3 linked regions of the Arabidopsis thaliana genome follow. The protein of the gene in region 3 interacts with the protein of the main gene of each other region in a pairwise test. Each region holds a gene or a part of one and is shown on either strand. Other genes may lie near its edges.

What was found. Proteins that work in one complex are often made in the same cells at the same time.
Region 1: the proteins of AT2G23070 (region 3) and DHAR1 interact in a protein complementation assay, tested with the Arabidopsis thaliana proteins (one large-scale study listed by BioGRID).
Region 2: the proteins of AT2G23070 (region 3) and AT5G58720 interact in a two-hybrid assay, tested with the Arabidopsis thaliana proteins (one large-scale study listed by BioGRID).

Annotation. Positions count from the first base shown.
Region 1 is NC_003070.9:6,772,767-6,776,284, forward strand, and holds DHAR1 (dehydroascorbate reductase), read right to left. Parts: upstream 1,758-3,518; 5' UTR 1,648-1,757; coding exon 1,590-1,647; intron 1,466-1,589; coding exon 1,375-1,465; intron 1,189-1,374; coding exon 696-1,188; 3' UTR 536-695; downstream 1-535. Other genes in the region: AT1G19565 (uncharacterized protein), read right to left, coding at 113-204, 313-365; GAMMA CA1 (gamma carbonic anhydrase 1), read left to right, coding at 2,171-2,285, 2,540-2,683, 3,249-3,374, 3,477-3,518. UniProt on the Arabidopsis thaliana protein: Displays a dual function. As a soluble protein, exhibits glutathione-dependent thiol transferase and dehydroascorbate (DHA) reductase activities. Key component of the ascorbate recycling system.
Region 2 is NC_003076.8:23,719,160-23,725,097, forward strand, and holds AT5G58720 (smr (Small MutS Related) domain-containing protein), read right to left. Parts: upstream 4,017-5,938; 5' UTR 3,816-4,016; coding exon 3,176-3,815; intron 2,987-3,175; coding exon 2,961-2,986; intron 2,837-2,960; coding exon 2,750-2,836; intron 2,654-2,749; coding exon 2,583-2,653; intron 2,262-2,582; coding exon 2,035-2,261; intron 1,782-2,034; coding exon 1,705-1,781; intron 1,632-1,704; coding exon 1,575-1,631; intron 1,491-1,574; coding exon 1,423-1,490; intron 1,338-1,422; coding exon 1,231-1,337; coding exon of another isoform or gene 1,175-1,230; exon of another isoform or gene 1,111-1,174; coding exon 1,040-1,110; coding exon of another isoform or gene 950-1,039; exon of another isoform or gene 946-949; coding exon 817-945; 3' UTR 536-816; downstream 1-535. Other genes in the region: ROC7 (rotamase CYP 7), read left to right, coding at 1-26, 198-336; Mik (pfkB-like carbohydrate kinase family protein), read right to left, coding at 4,468-4,644, 5,281-5,938.
Region 3 is NC_003071.7:9,823,135-9,828,653, forward strand, and holds AT2G23070 (Protein kinase superfamily protein), read right to left. Parts: upstream 3,765-5,519; 5' UTR 3,738-3,764; coding exon 3,358-3,737; intron 3,024-3,357; coding exon 2,894-3,023; intron 2,775-2,893; coding exon 2,580-2,774; intron 2,373-2,579; coding exon 2,215-2,372; intron 2,012-2,214; coding exon 1,921-2,011; intron 1,783-1,920; coding exon 1,717-1,782; intron 1,611-1,716; coding exon 1,528-1,610; intron 1,431-1,527; coding exon 1,367-1,430; intron 1,251-1,366; coding exon 1,182-1,250; intron 1,091-1,181; coding exon 1,028-1,090; 3' UTR 508-1,027; downstream 1-507. Other genes in the region: CKA3 (Protein kinase superfamily protein), read left to right, coding at 4,094-4,179, 4,425-4,554, 4,636-4,830, 4,919-5,076, 5,230-5,320, 5,453-5,518. UniProt on the Arabidopsis thaliana protein: Casein kinases are operationally defined by their preferential utilization of acidic proteins such as caseins as substrates. The alpha chain contains the catalytic site. Involved in the regulation of various developmental processes.

The DNA.
Region 1 (3,518 bases), on a different chromosome or scaffold from region 3:
ATCGCTGGTCATCCACAATAAAATCCGATTACCTTACGACTGCTGACGGTGCGACTATAACTGCCTTCTCCCAGGAACATTCTTGGAAAATCTCACCCAACCCTACATTCACCCGCCCAAGAACATTGTATCGCAGAACGATATGGTTGATTTGTGGGATGTAAAGATCGGTAAGACTCTCGAGTCTCGACAAGACTTATGTTTCTGAGGAAGAACTCCTCAAAACCATCAAAGGTGATCAGTTAAACCATAAAAACAGTTTCTGATATCCAATATTCATCAGTCCAAACTCCAAAGTATTAAACGAGTCACTTGCATTTGCAGAGACCCAGCCTCCAATGGATTTTTTTGTGGGTTTGATCCATACGGTCCTTGCGAAGAGCGACTTTACCTCCTTGACTATAGATCCTTCTTTTGGAGTTAAGACTTCTGAGCTTTATCCTGAGGTCAAGTACACAAGTACTGTCGATGAGTTTCTTAAATAATTTGTCTGAAAAAACCCTTGTCCCTTATGTTACGTGTAGCCAGTGTTTATCCGAGTTTCGATATGGAGGCAAATCTTATTTCAAAATAGGCTTCTTATTTGATTGATACAGTACATTACATAAAAAGGTCCAAGTACATTATTTGACTGATATAAGAGAGAGACCTTGAACAACATTACCACACCAACGATCTCATAACGGTGCATAGTTTCAAGGGTTAACCTTGGGAGCCCATCCAGAGATCACATACTTTTCCTCGGTCTTAGTTTTCTCAAAAGAGTCGAGCGAGAACAGAGTCTTCATGTAGTTATGGACATGGGGAAAGCTCTCAGGGACAGACCAGCTTTTGAAATGGCCAAGAGCAACTTGAAGGTGGTAAAGCTTTGGTGCTAAGCTTAGATCCACTGCGGAAACTCTTTCTCCGGCGATAAAAGGGCCATCGTGACTCTTAAGATGGTTTTCCAAAGCTTCTAGCTCAACAAGCAAGGCATGTTCAGATCCGTCATTGGAGTCTTTGCTCTTCAAGAATGTCCCAAAAGTACCAAAAATGTTGGATCCAACAGAGGCAAATTCAGCAGGAGTCTTGAGTGGTGGATCAGGATACTTCTCCTCGAGTATACCAACGATGACGTCGGAATCAGTCACCCACTTGTCGTCGATCTTAAGCACTGGTACTTTCCCTTGAGGACTAATGTCCAAGAACCTGCATCATATATAAAACCAAAGCCACCAATTTCAAGTTCCGGTTAACACAATGCTCGCACATGAAGCCAATCCAATTTCCGGTTAACACAAAGCTCGTACCAGTTACAAGTAAAATTTCAGAGATTATGGCTAAACAAGTTCAAACTAGACCGATCTTAAGGGTTTAGGCGTGAGAGAAACTGACCACTGGGGTTTGTCAGAGAGGTTAATCAGATGGATTTTGTAGGTAAGACTCTTCTCCTCGAGTGTGAGAAGAGCCCGTTGGCTGAACGGACCTAAAACGACAAACAAACACTTAAATTAGTAAATTTACCAACGATCAAAGCTCAGAAATTAAGAATTGCAAAATCAAAAGCTTAATGCAAAACAAAAACAGAGAGAGAAAGAGAAGATGGTTACAGTCGCCGAGATGATCAGGAGCACCAACAGCAGCTTTCACACAGATTTCCAGAGCCATCTTGATTCTTCTTCCTTTGTTTGCAGAGACGGATGAATGATTGAGTTAATCAGTGAGAAGGCTTAGCTTTTAAACTGAATTATTACCATTCTCCACCCACCAGTGGGCCATTTTTACCCGATGTTTATCTTTTCTCACGTGTTATGCGTTGCAAGTGACGACGATACGAAACGACATTGTTACTGATAGGGCCATTTGATTTTTGGTCGGCAGGTTTTGGACCGTTCAATTTAGTGAAAATATAGTAATAAATTCGTACCGAATAATATAATCGGTTTAATGAAACTACTACCTGAAATATCGAATTAGATTTGGTTCATATTTCGTATTGTTTTGGTTCGATTAAACCATATTAAACCACTGTAACTGTAATTTATTGTTTCGCCGTCCCGGAATGTTCCTGTTGAAATCCATTTTCGCTGATTTTTTTTCTTCCGTCTCTTCTTCAGCTTCGACCATTTTCGTCTTCTTCATTCAGTGTTGAGTCCTCGTTTACCTGTGAGCTCGAAGAAAGTGACGATCAATGGGAACCCTAGGCAGAGCATTTTACTCGGTCGGTTTTTGGATCCGTGAGACTGGTCAAGCTCTTGATCGCCTCGGTTGTCGCCTTCAAGGCAAAAATTACTTCCGAGAACAACGTAAGATTCTGCGTAACTCTATTTTTCACTCCGATTTCGAATTCGTAAAGAGTGAGGAGTTTCGATTGGGTAATTCAGCTCACCTATTCTGGTTAGGTTAGAGATCTGGAATTGATGTCTTTGTAGGTATAGCGATTCTGGATTCGAATGGCACAAGGGATTAATTGATGTGGAATGTGTTTTGCTGCTTAGTTTTTTTTTTGTTTCCTGGTCACGAAATTTGCTTATATGTAATTGTGGTTTTCTCTGTGTAGTGTCAAGGCATCGGACACTGATGAATGTATTTGATAAGGCTCCGATTGTGGACAAGGAAGCTTTTGTGGCACCAAGCGCCTCAGTTATTGGGGACGTTCACATTGGAAGAGGATCGTCCATTTGGTATGGATGCGTATTACGAGGTGAGCTAGCTACTAAGCCTCAATGTTTGGTGTTTGGTGGTTGACTATTTTAGTGACTGAAGTTTTGTTTGAAATAGTATCTACTTCTGTATCCTTAGCTGTGTCAACTCTTACGATAGAAAATAGTGAACGAATATCTGTTTTTTACTCTTCTGGTTAAGCGATGAACAAGACTACTACTCAAAATGGAGCTTTCTAGCTTTATTGAAGGATCTTAAACAGATCATTACTACATATCGTATCTTGATGATACTGGCAGTTGCTCTAATGGGTGATTGGGTATATGATATCCCCAATCATATACAGAATGCTTTCATGTCATAACACCAGAATTAGTTGAACGATATCATATACAGATTATTGAGTTTGAGTTGAATCCTTATTGCGAGTATGAGTTGGCTAGTCTGGATTTTTATTTAATGGTGATGAAATAGGGTTGTCCTTTTTACAGAATGCTTTCATGTCATAACACATTGGTACTGTATGGCTAAGCCTGTTAGTACTTTACCAGGAAACTGGGATAACATACAATCTAAACTTGCTTTCTCTCTTTTTTTCTGCGCAGGCGATGTGAACACCGTAAGTGTTGGGTCAGGAACTAATATTCAGGACAACTCACTTGTGCATGTGGCAAAATCAAACTTAAGCGGGAAGGTGCACCCAACCATAATTGGAGACAATGTAACCATTGGTTAGTGGGAATCTCTTACTCACTGTTTATTTTGAAAATGTTTAATATGCATACATCTCCAAGAAGCATTTGGGATATAGTCTTAAATTAAATGTGTAACAGGTCATAGTGCTGTTTTACATGGATGTACTGTTGAGGATGAGA
Region 2 (5,938 bases), on a different chromosome or scaffold from region 3:
TTCATCACAACTGTAACAACCAGCTGGTGAGTACAGAATCATCTGAATTTCAAACACATAAAGCCAGTTTCTTATCTTTTACTTTCAAGTTGTTTGACAATTGTGTGGGCAGGTTACTACTTTCTAAGCTTAAGAGTTTCAATTATGGATAGAATTGTCGATATGTTGTTTCCGTCTGCTGATTAGAAAGTTTGCAGGTTGGATGGGCGACATGTGGTATTCGGGAAGGTAGTGACAGGAATGGATGTGGTGTACAAAGTCGAAGCTGAAGGAAATCAGAGTGGAACTCCTAAGAGTAAAGTGGTGATTGTAGACAGTGGTGAGCTTCCCCTGTAACTCAACAACTCTAGTTTTCTCCATCTGATCATCCATTGATGTGAGCTCTAGTGTGCTTGATGACTTTTGTGTTAAAACGAGTGTCTTGGTTACTTTATGAAAGATTCTACCGGCTTTATTTCTTTCGTCTGCTTTCTAGCTCGAGCTATGTCTGACTTTATACACAAATGTCTTTCAGTAGCAAAAATTCTGCACTTATGCCGTTTTGCATTGTCAACATTTGTAGAATTTATAGAAGTTACACGATAATATATATATCAGTAAACTCCTAAAGAAGAGTTAGCGAAAAATATACATTCTGTCTGTGTCAGACAAAGTGTTTTCAGAACTTAAATAACGTGAAATACGGAAAGGAAAAAGAAGGAAGCTAAGTTTTGCCCAACATTTACTTAACAACAGAGAGCTAGCATCAGATATAGACAAAATCGACATAAATTTTAAGATCTAAAGCTAAAACCTGACTTTAGTTTTAGTTATCACTTATTCATCAGAGTCACTCTCTGTGTCTAAGAAACTGAACTCTCTACTACCTCCGTCAAGCTTGATCAGCAGTGTCCCTCTGTTCTCTTCACAATACCTAACTCCTTCTCTTTCTAGCAGCTTTACCACCTGATCATATCCATAAATAACAATCATATACCATGACTGCAATACTAAATTCTTGTCTCCGGTTTTGCTGTGAAAGGGCGTTGAAGAAACTTACTGATTGTTTCACCTTAGACTTCCCAAACCCAGAAGCTCCACATCCTGTGATCACTCGTAGAGTCTGAATGGCTGGATGATTTCACAATTGTTAGGAGGAAGGTATTATCTCGGGTTTTATGATGACAAGATCTGACTATGATGATCTACTAAAGAAGAAAAGACTTATAATTGAGTTTGCTAAGTACTCACAAGGAACATATGATCCAAATAAGAGATGTAGCTTCAGTAGCTTCATTGCTGGTTTAACATGCTGACCATGCAGATCAATGGTTACCACATTCTCTATACCTTTGTTTCTGCATAGTCATAAACAATGGCTTAGTCCACCACAAAATGTTTAAGCGCATCAGCATACTTTGATAATGCATCAAAACAGCTAACCTTGCAACGAATATATCTTGGCTTGCCCTCTCATCAGCCCGTTGAGCTTGTTTAGATGCCACTCTTCCCTAAAAGAAAAACAACACAAGTTTCTGTCATACTGTCAAACAAAATGCCATGATACCATGATATATGTAAACCGTGATATGCACCTTGTCAGAAAGGTAAGCCGCATGAGCCCTCCCTCCTTTCGAATATGCTTCGGCAGCCTTAAACCAATTAATAAATGCATTAGTTGAGGAGTCTACCAGAGCCAGATATATGGAAGCAAGTAAAACTAACTTTTTGATAGTAGGACTTCGTAACATTCCACTGGTCATTTGCACCTTTTCTAAGTTCATGATAACTGTCATCCTTCACTGCAACACACGTACTGATTGATTGGTAATGCAATTCATGAGTAAGAAAGATTGATTCAAGAGTTGCAACACAAACAAGCAGTCAAAACTTCAGATGTTTATGCCAATGACACCAAAGCAAAAATTGCCAAGTGTTTCATCAGGTAAAACAACATACATCAGAAGCTCGAAGCCGGCAAACTCATGGCAAATTGAGCATGCTATTTGCAGCTATATACGCAAATACTAAAATCAAGAAACCATAGTAAAGTACCAAACGTATTAGGGTGAGGCTCTTCCCCACTAGATGAAGAAGCATCAATGCCAAGTGACTGCATTTTCTTTGCCACATTCCTCCAACTCGTTGTCTTTGATTCATGTTTAGGATTCTGGCGAATGTTGAACAGAGACTCCAACACTTTTTGTGGAAGACCAAGCTCATCAATTCCTTGGGTAGTTGCAAAAGGATCTTGAGAACTCATGAGAGCTTTTGCGTAGTCCCTACCATTCAGACAAAGAAAAGAAAAAAAGGCCAGATATTTAGTTTTGACCTCGTCCACAATGTTGAAATTAAGAAATCATAATGTAAGTTTTGGCGGTCTCATGAGTAATTTAGATATCATGTGTTCATGAACTGAATCCTCCACCATGAAATAGTTCGTTTGTTGTTCTTTCATAGAAGAGGATAAGGACTAATTAAAAGATAAGGAGAGGTTGCAGAGAGCTCGTTATCTTGTAACTAACGTGTAAATCAACTCTGATAATTCCAAAATCAGTGAATTGCAATAACAAGATGAAAGCCTAAGAAGCAAATAGAAGTACCTTTGACTATAGTCTCCACCCCAGAAAAGTTCACAATCAGAAGTATCAGTATCAAAAGATGACTCTGCCAGCTGTTAAATAATGTCAGGAGATTGCACTTTATTTTATCGTGTAAGAAAACAAAATAAACAGATCTATGAAGATTAACAAAAAAAACAATCACTTACACTATCGCTGACTCCTATGCCGAAACATTTACCACTCAATGAATCATCAGTTGATGAAGAAGACATGTCAAGCAAGACATTCAAAGCCTAAGAAGAAAACGCTATTAAGCTTTAAAATAAATAGTCGGGCAAGTATCAGCATATTTCAGGAGCTTCCCTGTCAATATACTAAATACTTCCCCATGTAAGTTTGAAGACAATCTCTGCTTACCATGTCGACATCATAGCCACATTGACCTACAAAAAATAGATACTTCCATGTCAATTCATCGAACAATCTAGTCTCTCCTCATAACATTATTACGGCTATATTTCGAATATCGCGGACACATTAAAACGTAATCCTATAACTATTAAGGATCATACTTTTCTACTAACATCTTCTCCCATGGAAAAATTAACTGACTAAGAAGAAGAAATACTCACACAAAACATCTCTAACAACAGCCATGCTAAGCTCGCAATCATCTCCAAGCATTGAACTTAAGAACTGTTCAGCTTTCTCTCTATCCGCAGCTTTTTTCCCGTTCCCACAGAGCTCTTTAGACCGTTCCATCATAGGAAACTCTTTTCGCACAGGGTTTGGCTTCAAGTAATCCTTCGCAATCACAGAAGAAACCATCCCTGTAGCAGCAATAACTCTACTCTGCTTGCTTCCCTTAAACCATCTATCTCTAGTCAAATCTTCGCTACAGCTAGAACTTGACCCTGCCCCATACTCAGAGGTAGACGCTGTTTCCTGACCCGAAGAACCACTCGCCACCGAACTCGTCGACGGATCATCACCGCTTTCCACCAGATCCGATAAAATCTCAGCGGCTTTGTTCAGATCTCCGCCTGCTTCCTTATAAGCAGCCATCGCTTCCTCCATTGAAACCGAGCAAAAGGCTTCCATTAACGATTCGATAAAATTTTTTCCAACGTTTTCTATCTCCCTCTTTCCTTCACCGTCCTTCCTCTCTTCCTCCACATCTTTTTTGTTCCCGTCCGACGTCGTTCCATCACCGGAAGGTTTCGCGGCGCAGGATCGCTTCTTCTTCTTCTTATGCTGGTTCTTCTGCTTCATTATCGTACAATTATAGATGAAATCGTGTCAACGCCGCTTCAATAGAATCTCTTCCGATCTGCAGAAGAAACTTAAACCCAGATTTCCGACGAGAAGCGTCGGAGAGAGGGAAGAGGCGTTTTAACCGTAAATCAGGAGTTAGTAATGGAGATGCCAATATCAGAGGAAATTTTTTGCTCGTCCAGACTTTTGATTGGGAATCGGAATCGCCACGTCAATCCACGCGCCTGATCGTGACCACGTTTTAAATCCACGCGCACGAATCAAACACCGAACACGGTTTCCTCCTGATTGTACATATATTGAACCGGTTCAACTATGCACCAGTCAAAATTAGATCTCCCACGTTGACTTTCGTAATTTTATCTCAGATTTGTTTTTGGTTTTTATATTAACTAGATAATGTGGCAACATGCGAATAGCAAATCATCTTATCCAAAACTTTTAAAACAAAATTTGACATCTTCATTTCGAATTTTGAAACGCGGAGTTGATAAACAAACTTTGCGGGAACGACCAGAAAGAGCGTTTGAAGACGCTGGTCAACGCGTTTTATACATTAAAATTTCCAAAATTCATCAACGTGTTGAAGCAAGCTTACACAACTCAGAAGAGCTTTGTTAGTAAAAAAAAGGTGATTCAAGATTCGTATTCACAGGGACCGATCATCACAAGAGTGACCATTGACCAATAACTTTGGTTGAAGTTGAGAGTCTACGCATGAAAACCGAGCTGGACTTAGACGCTCATGGAACTCGTTGTGATCGTTGTTATGGCTGCTAGATATGTTACACTGCTTCTTCCTTCTCTGTACCTCATCCTTGACTTTCTGCAAATCACAAAGACATATGTCACATAGAAATAACCGATGAAAGGGATGAATCCTTGTGCAGTGCAAACACAAACGCTATAAATCTTCTAATTTGCTTAATGTTCACTTGCACTAGCCAATGGTTCAATTATTATCCAATAACGCCCTCATTTCAACAGATACAACTACAAGAGATACACAGAAACACTCGCAAATACATCAAGAGATCCATACTTTTGAATTCTCTAATTGCTTAACCACATTGTTCGGTGAATGCTTAAACAACACTTTTTCCTGCATCTACCCTATGTTGAATGAAACTGCTCCTAGATTAACAATGAAGTAAAACAAGAAAAGACTCTCTCAGCAGCTGTGACTCGACAGAATCTCAAACAACAACTGTGAAGATTTGACACATTTTCAGATTGGAAACCTATCAACATCAAATACAGATTCTAGTTCACCCGCAAGATATAGGTTTGGCTGTATTGAAAGTAAGCTGCAAGATGTAACAGAGTTCTTTTGCTAGGATTATGTTAAAGACATTTGCATATCACTATCATCGGCTCTAAAAGTTCTTACTACTGTCTATTAGATTTGCAAATCTCTCACAGCATGCAATTCAGTAAGCTAATACGAGACCAAAAAACAAACCTGAAGCATCATCAAATCGAACTTTGGCTGACCAATATGCTCTACAGTGATGGAACCAAAGAGGTTCCCTAACAATGCAGCATCAGGAACAGTCAAACCTTCAACAAGCCCAACAATCAAACCTCCGAGAAAGCTGTCTCCGGCACCGGTAGGATCCACCTGCTTCGCCAAGAACGGAGGAACCGTCATTTCATCATCCTTATGATAAATCCTACACCCTTTTTCACCATTAGTCACCACCACACAACACAAGTGCTTCATTTGTTCAACATCCATGAAAAGAGCTTCGTCTGACGAAGCTTTCAAGAATCCAATTCGATGCAAGATGTGATAAAATCCACTTTCTTTCAAATCAACAAGCTTCACAGCTCCGTCAACAGGATCAAAAACCCTAATCAAAGCTTGAATATCCACAGCAACAACGTCACAGATCTCCACCATTTTCTCAAGCGTCTCCGGTAAAATCTCGCCGCCGACTCCAACGGCCATTCCGAAATCAAATCTCGAATCGGGTATATCCGAAGGAAGAATCGGATCACATGCAGAGACTCTTTTCAACACCCGATCAGCATGACCGATCCCATCGATTCCCAGATCGAAATACGCCTCGAAAACTGTTGTTTCCTTCTCCGGAGCCACGATCGGAGAGTGGGTGACC
Region 3 (5,519 bases):
AAATCTTTTTTATTTTTTTTTGGCCAGAATGAGAAAATCTTTATCACACGAAACTGATTATCTAAAGCATTCCAACAGAATACATCATTCAATAATCTCATTTACTCATACGCGTGAAATCTCACTTTGGATTAAGGTGTCAAAACTCAAAAGATAATCTTAATTCACAAGACTGCACACCGGTTATCAAACGTTTTTAATCGTTTCCAAAGTAAATATTTATTTCTCTTTTGGTGGATGATTTTCTCCAATAATTTGAAAAAAATAACTGATTGATGGATCATGGATGCATATATATACTGAAAATCTTGCACAATTATTAGTTATATATTTCCATATTTGGTTTCATATGTTTTAGACACAGCAATATCTTTGCGTGTGCGTAATTCACAAAATTTTAAGAGATGAGTAATTTTTTTAAGGCATCATTTTCAACAAGAAAGAAAGAGACAGACAGCTATATTGTAAACTAATATAGGATGATTGCATAATCATTTGGACAAAGGGAACCAGAGAGATTAAACTAAACTTAAAAGATATAAGACAGATAGGTCGAGGTTGTTCCACAGACACAGTACTCAAGATCGGATTACGTGCTTAATGTCCCCTAATCACTATTTGGATTAGATTAGAGATTCTTGTGCTTTCTTATGTCTACAGTTATATATCTAACTGACCGACCATCACTCTCTACTCCCGATGCGAGCTTCTTCTACCTTCCACGGAGCTGTCAAAACGGGCTAACTAAAACCGGCAAGCCAAACCAACCTGTCCCGCTCAAGAATATGAAATTTTCCAGAAAATTAAAAATGAGAAGAAAAGAAAGAAAAACCTTTTGAAACCCGTCTTGTGGATATTTTTTTTTATATAATAAAATTCAAATGAGTTGAATGAAACACTGAGAAAGAGCAAAACAGTAACACACGCACACTTGAGAGAATGAAACAATGACAGATCGATTTATAACAAATTTGAATCCGTAAAGAAATGAAAAATCAGAAGATTGAACAAGCAAATGTTTTCGAGATCACTGGCTGCGCGGCGTACGGCTGCTCTCTGCATTTCTAATCGGATAGAAATATGGATGCGCCTGTAAAAATCCATCATATTCTCTACTATCACTTATCTGTAATTATAAGAGAAAATCTTTAGAAAGATATTAAAGAAAAATTGTTGCTTACCATTGCTTCTTTAGCTGTTGGCCTTTCTTGGTGATCATATCTCAGCAACTTGTCCACAAAATCAACAGCCTTCATTAACCAAAAAGTATATGAAAACAAATGAGTCATGTTCGTCCAAAAAATCCGGTGTTTTGGTCTTAACATGAAGGCTTCATAATTGTATAGAGAAAAGTTAAGTGTTGTACCTCAGGAACTGCTAAGTGCTGGTTTTCAGAATTGATGAACTTTGTCCATGGCTTCCGGCTATGTCTATATAAAATCAAGAGTGCATAATTTAATGTTCTGAAATGATAAGGCGCAAAACTGGAGTTTTTAGAGTTTTTCATAACTTTTTAAACCGGATTACCTGCCCACGAGGGATGTTAGATTAGGGTCCAACTCTATACGGTATTTGTTTAGGTAGGCGTTGAGTTCATCTGTGCCAAGCACCTGCCATAGTTATAAATACATAGAATCGTATTTTTAGCTATAACTTGGAGGAATGTAAAATCTGTTCAGAGGAGACGAGACATGATGAAAGCTTTTGTAATGTTACCTTCGCAATTTTGACCAATTGATCATAGTTGTCATGGCCATAAAAGAACGGCTCCTTGCGGAATATCTGCAAACAGTAGAGTATACAATATTCACCACTTAACTAACTTAAGGAATGGTAAAATAACCAAAATGTACTGTCGAATTCTTGTCATTCCATTACAGCTTAAACCAAGTTAACTAAATTCTAGCTTAAAACGCTTACCATTCCAGCAAACATACACCCAAGACTCCATAGGTCTAAGGAATAATCATAGTCCTGTAAATCCACCAGCAGCTCTGGACCCTTAAAGTACCTGCTCATCAAATATGAAGTGAGAAATGATAATAGTATACATCAGCTAGACGAAGTTAGATAATATGTTTCAACTAATCTCAAGAGCTCAATGCATGCAATCTTCAACATTTCTTATCTAGACTCTCTATGAGCAGAAATTTAGCAACTGCAACAAATAGAATCTTGCAGAGGAGAGATTAGCAGATAGCCAAAAGGAACTACCTTGAAGCAACACGGACATTGTATTCTTTCCCAGGATGATAGAATTCTGCCAAACCCCAGTCAATTAAACGAAGTTTTCGCTGCTCGTGATCAATCATGACATTATGTGGTTTCACATCTCTGTGCATGATTCCACGTGAATGGCAGAAATCCAACGCCTGCATAAATGTTAAAAAGAAACAACAAACAGCATCAGAAACAAATTCGTACCCTTTATAACTGAAGGCTAGTGGATTCAAAAGTCAAGTAAGGTAAACAACAGTGTATGACGCTATACATCTATGATATATCTACCGATTACTTTTGCCAATTGCCAAAGCCGCAAAGAAAATCATGGTCTACAATTCAGGAAACTGAATAATTACCTTTAGAAGTTCAAAAATGTAATATCGAACATCATAGTCTGAGAGAGTTGGATAGAGAACTTTGAAATCTTTATTGTTCACATGTTCAAATATCAAGCTGGGCGTCTTAGACTGCTGATCTCTAACAATGTCGAGCAATTTTACAATATTAGGCCCACCGCAGAGGTTCTGCAGAATCTTAATCTCTCTCTTAATCTGCGTCAAGGAGAAGCAAAATATGTTAGAGAATAATTCAAACCAAGTGAAGGGCCAGAAACACACTTCATTCTGAGCACAATTGAGATAAAAACAAGCAAGCGGCTGTATCTACTCACCTTCTTCTTCTTCACAGGCTTCAAAATCTTGATAACACATTTCTCGTTATCAGTAGCATGAATGCCTTCAAAGACCTCACTGTATTTTCCCCTTCCTACCTTCCTCACCACCTCATAATCATCCTGTACACTGCGGCATCAATGAAGCTAACTCAAACACTAATACACCAAACAGTAACAACACCATACAAACTCAAGATATCAATTCAACAATCTAGTTCACATAGACCAGCAATTTTCAAGAGATTATATACAAACAAAACAGATACCAATACAAACAAATCAGATACCAATTCTGCATTACTTACGAGATTATATCATCAATCAAAAATATGAAACGAAACCCTAAATCTACATTCCACATTGATTCCAGAACAACCAATCCCAAACCAATCTATAACCAAAGGCAAACATCTAGAAATCGACGTAATTAGGTTTAATTAGAGAAGAATCTGAAGATATACCCCCATTGAACAGCAAGGGACTCGTAATCCCAATAGTCCTTAGGTCTAACAACGTTGACATCAGCGTAAACCCTAGCTTTCGACGGCGCACCGGCACGCCGGATAGATTTACCGATCTTCTGAGCCAGCGTTTCTGATTTTTCTTTCACGCGCGATTGCTGTTGTTGCTGATGTTGTTGTTGTTGATTCCGGAGATGTTGACGGTAAAGAGAAGCGCTGGATGCGAAACGACGGAGATTGTCCTGGAGCGAAGAGAGAAGAAGATTCCTCTTCGCCGGAGACGACGAAGAGAAGGAGAGGAGAGAGAAGAGATTGTTGTTGGCGGCGGAAGCGTTGCGAAGAGAGGAGATTGTGAATCCAGTACAAGGCCTTAAGGCCATTAATGTCTTTTTTTAACTCTTATTCAGAAAATGAAAAGTGAAGGTAACGAATTTGCTTTATTTCTCTCCTTTCTTTTTCTTTGGCTTCTCTTCGAAACGATGTCGTTTAAACAATTCGGTCCGGTTATAGTGTGATTGAAATCGATCCGATTGGGTTTGTTTCGGTTCGAGTGTGGTTGAATCGGTTCGATTTGGTTTAGGTGGTTTTTGGGTATCAGAGATTCTTCTTCAACCTTTTTCTAATCCTGCACAACGCACTTCTTCTGTTGTCATCATCATCGTCCACTTGAAACAAACCTGACGATCAAAGAGAAGATTGCGATCGCAAATTTCTCCATTTTTTCAGATCGAAATTGATGTCGAAAGCTAGGGTTTATACAGATGTTAACGTTGTTCGTCCTAAAGAGTATTGGGACTACGAGTCTCTCGTTGTTCAATGGGGGTAAAACTTCTAGCTTTAGAATTTTTCTTTGATGAATTTACGATTTTTGACTTCTTTTTGATAAATTTTCGGTGGAATTTGATTGATTTGTTGCCAAATCGAATTCGAAATCAGAGAAATTGGAATTTTTTAGGGTTTGGACTTAGGTCTCTTGAAGACACTTTGTTTTAAGTATCTATTAGCAAATATTGGATTTTGAAATTCAACAGTGTGAGATTCTTAAATACTTTTGTGTGATTCTTCAGTCATCAAGATGATTATGAGGTTGTGAGAAAAGTTGGTAGAGGAAAATACAGTGAAGTTTTCGAAGGCAAAAACGTCAATACGAATGAGCGTTGCGTTATCAAGATCCTCAAACCCGTAAAAAAGAAGAAGGTGATCAGTTAGTAGAACTCATTTCTGATGAATTTGCATACATAAAGATGGCTAATTTTGCTGAAACTTGATGTTATGCAGATAAAGAGAGAGATCAAAATACTTCAGAACCTATGTGGTGGACCAAATATTGTTAAGCTGTATGATATTGTTAGAGATGAGCACTCCAAAACACCTAGCTTGGTATTTGAGTTTGTCAACAGTGTGGACTTTAAAGTATTGTATCCAACATTGACTGATTACGATATCCGGTACTATATTTATGAGCTTCTGAAGGTAATGTATCGGTATTTACCATAAATGACTTTTACCGTACATACAAATGTTTATCGTGGAATCCAGAGCTGATGTTATTGCATTTCAGGCATTGGATTTCTGTCACTCTCAAGGAATAATGCATAGGGATGTTAAGCCTCATAATGTCATGATAGATCATCAGCTGCGTAAACTTCGTCTGATAGATTGGGGCCTTGCTGAGTTTTACCATCCCGGAAAAGAGTATAATGTTCGCGTGGCCTCGAGGTAATATCCGATACCACAGCTTAATTCCACCTGTCTTGGCAAGCCTAAGAGGGTCATTCGTAGATGCCAATGATTGAAACTTTTAGCTGTGCAATCAAAGCTTCTTGTAGTTGTTAAATGCATTAGACTAAAAACCTGTGAATTAATTGCCAGATACTTCAAGGGTCCCGAGCTTTTAGTTGATCTACAGGATTATGACTATTCTTTAGACATGTGGAGTCTTGGTTGCATGTTTGCTGGCATGGTGAGAACTAATAATCCCCTCACTCTTCTCTCTAGCTTCAATGCTGAAGCTATTGCAAGCATTTGAATTTCCGAATGGTAGTCGTTAATACTTTGCTGTTGCTTATTCACTTGTCAAATATTGATGCTGCAGATATTCCGTAAGGAACCGTTCTTTTATGGCCATGATAATCATGATCAACTTGTCAAAATTGCCAAGG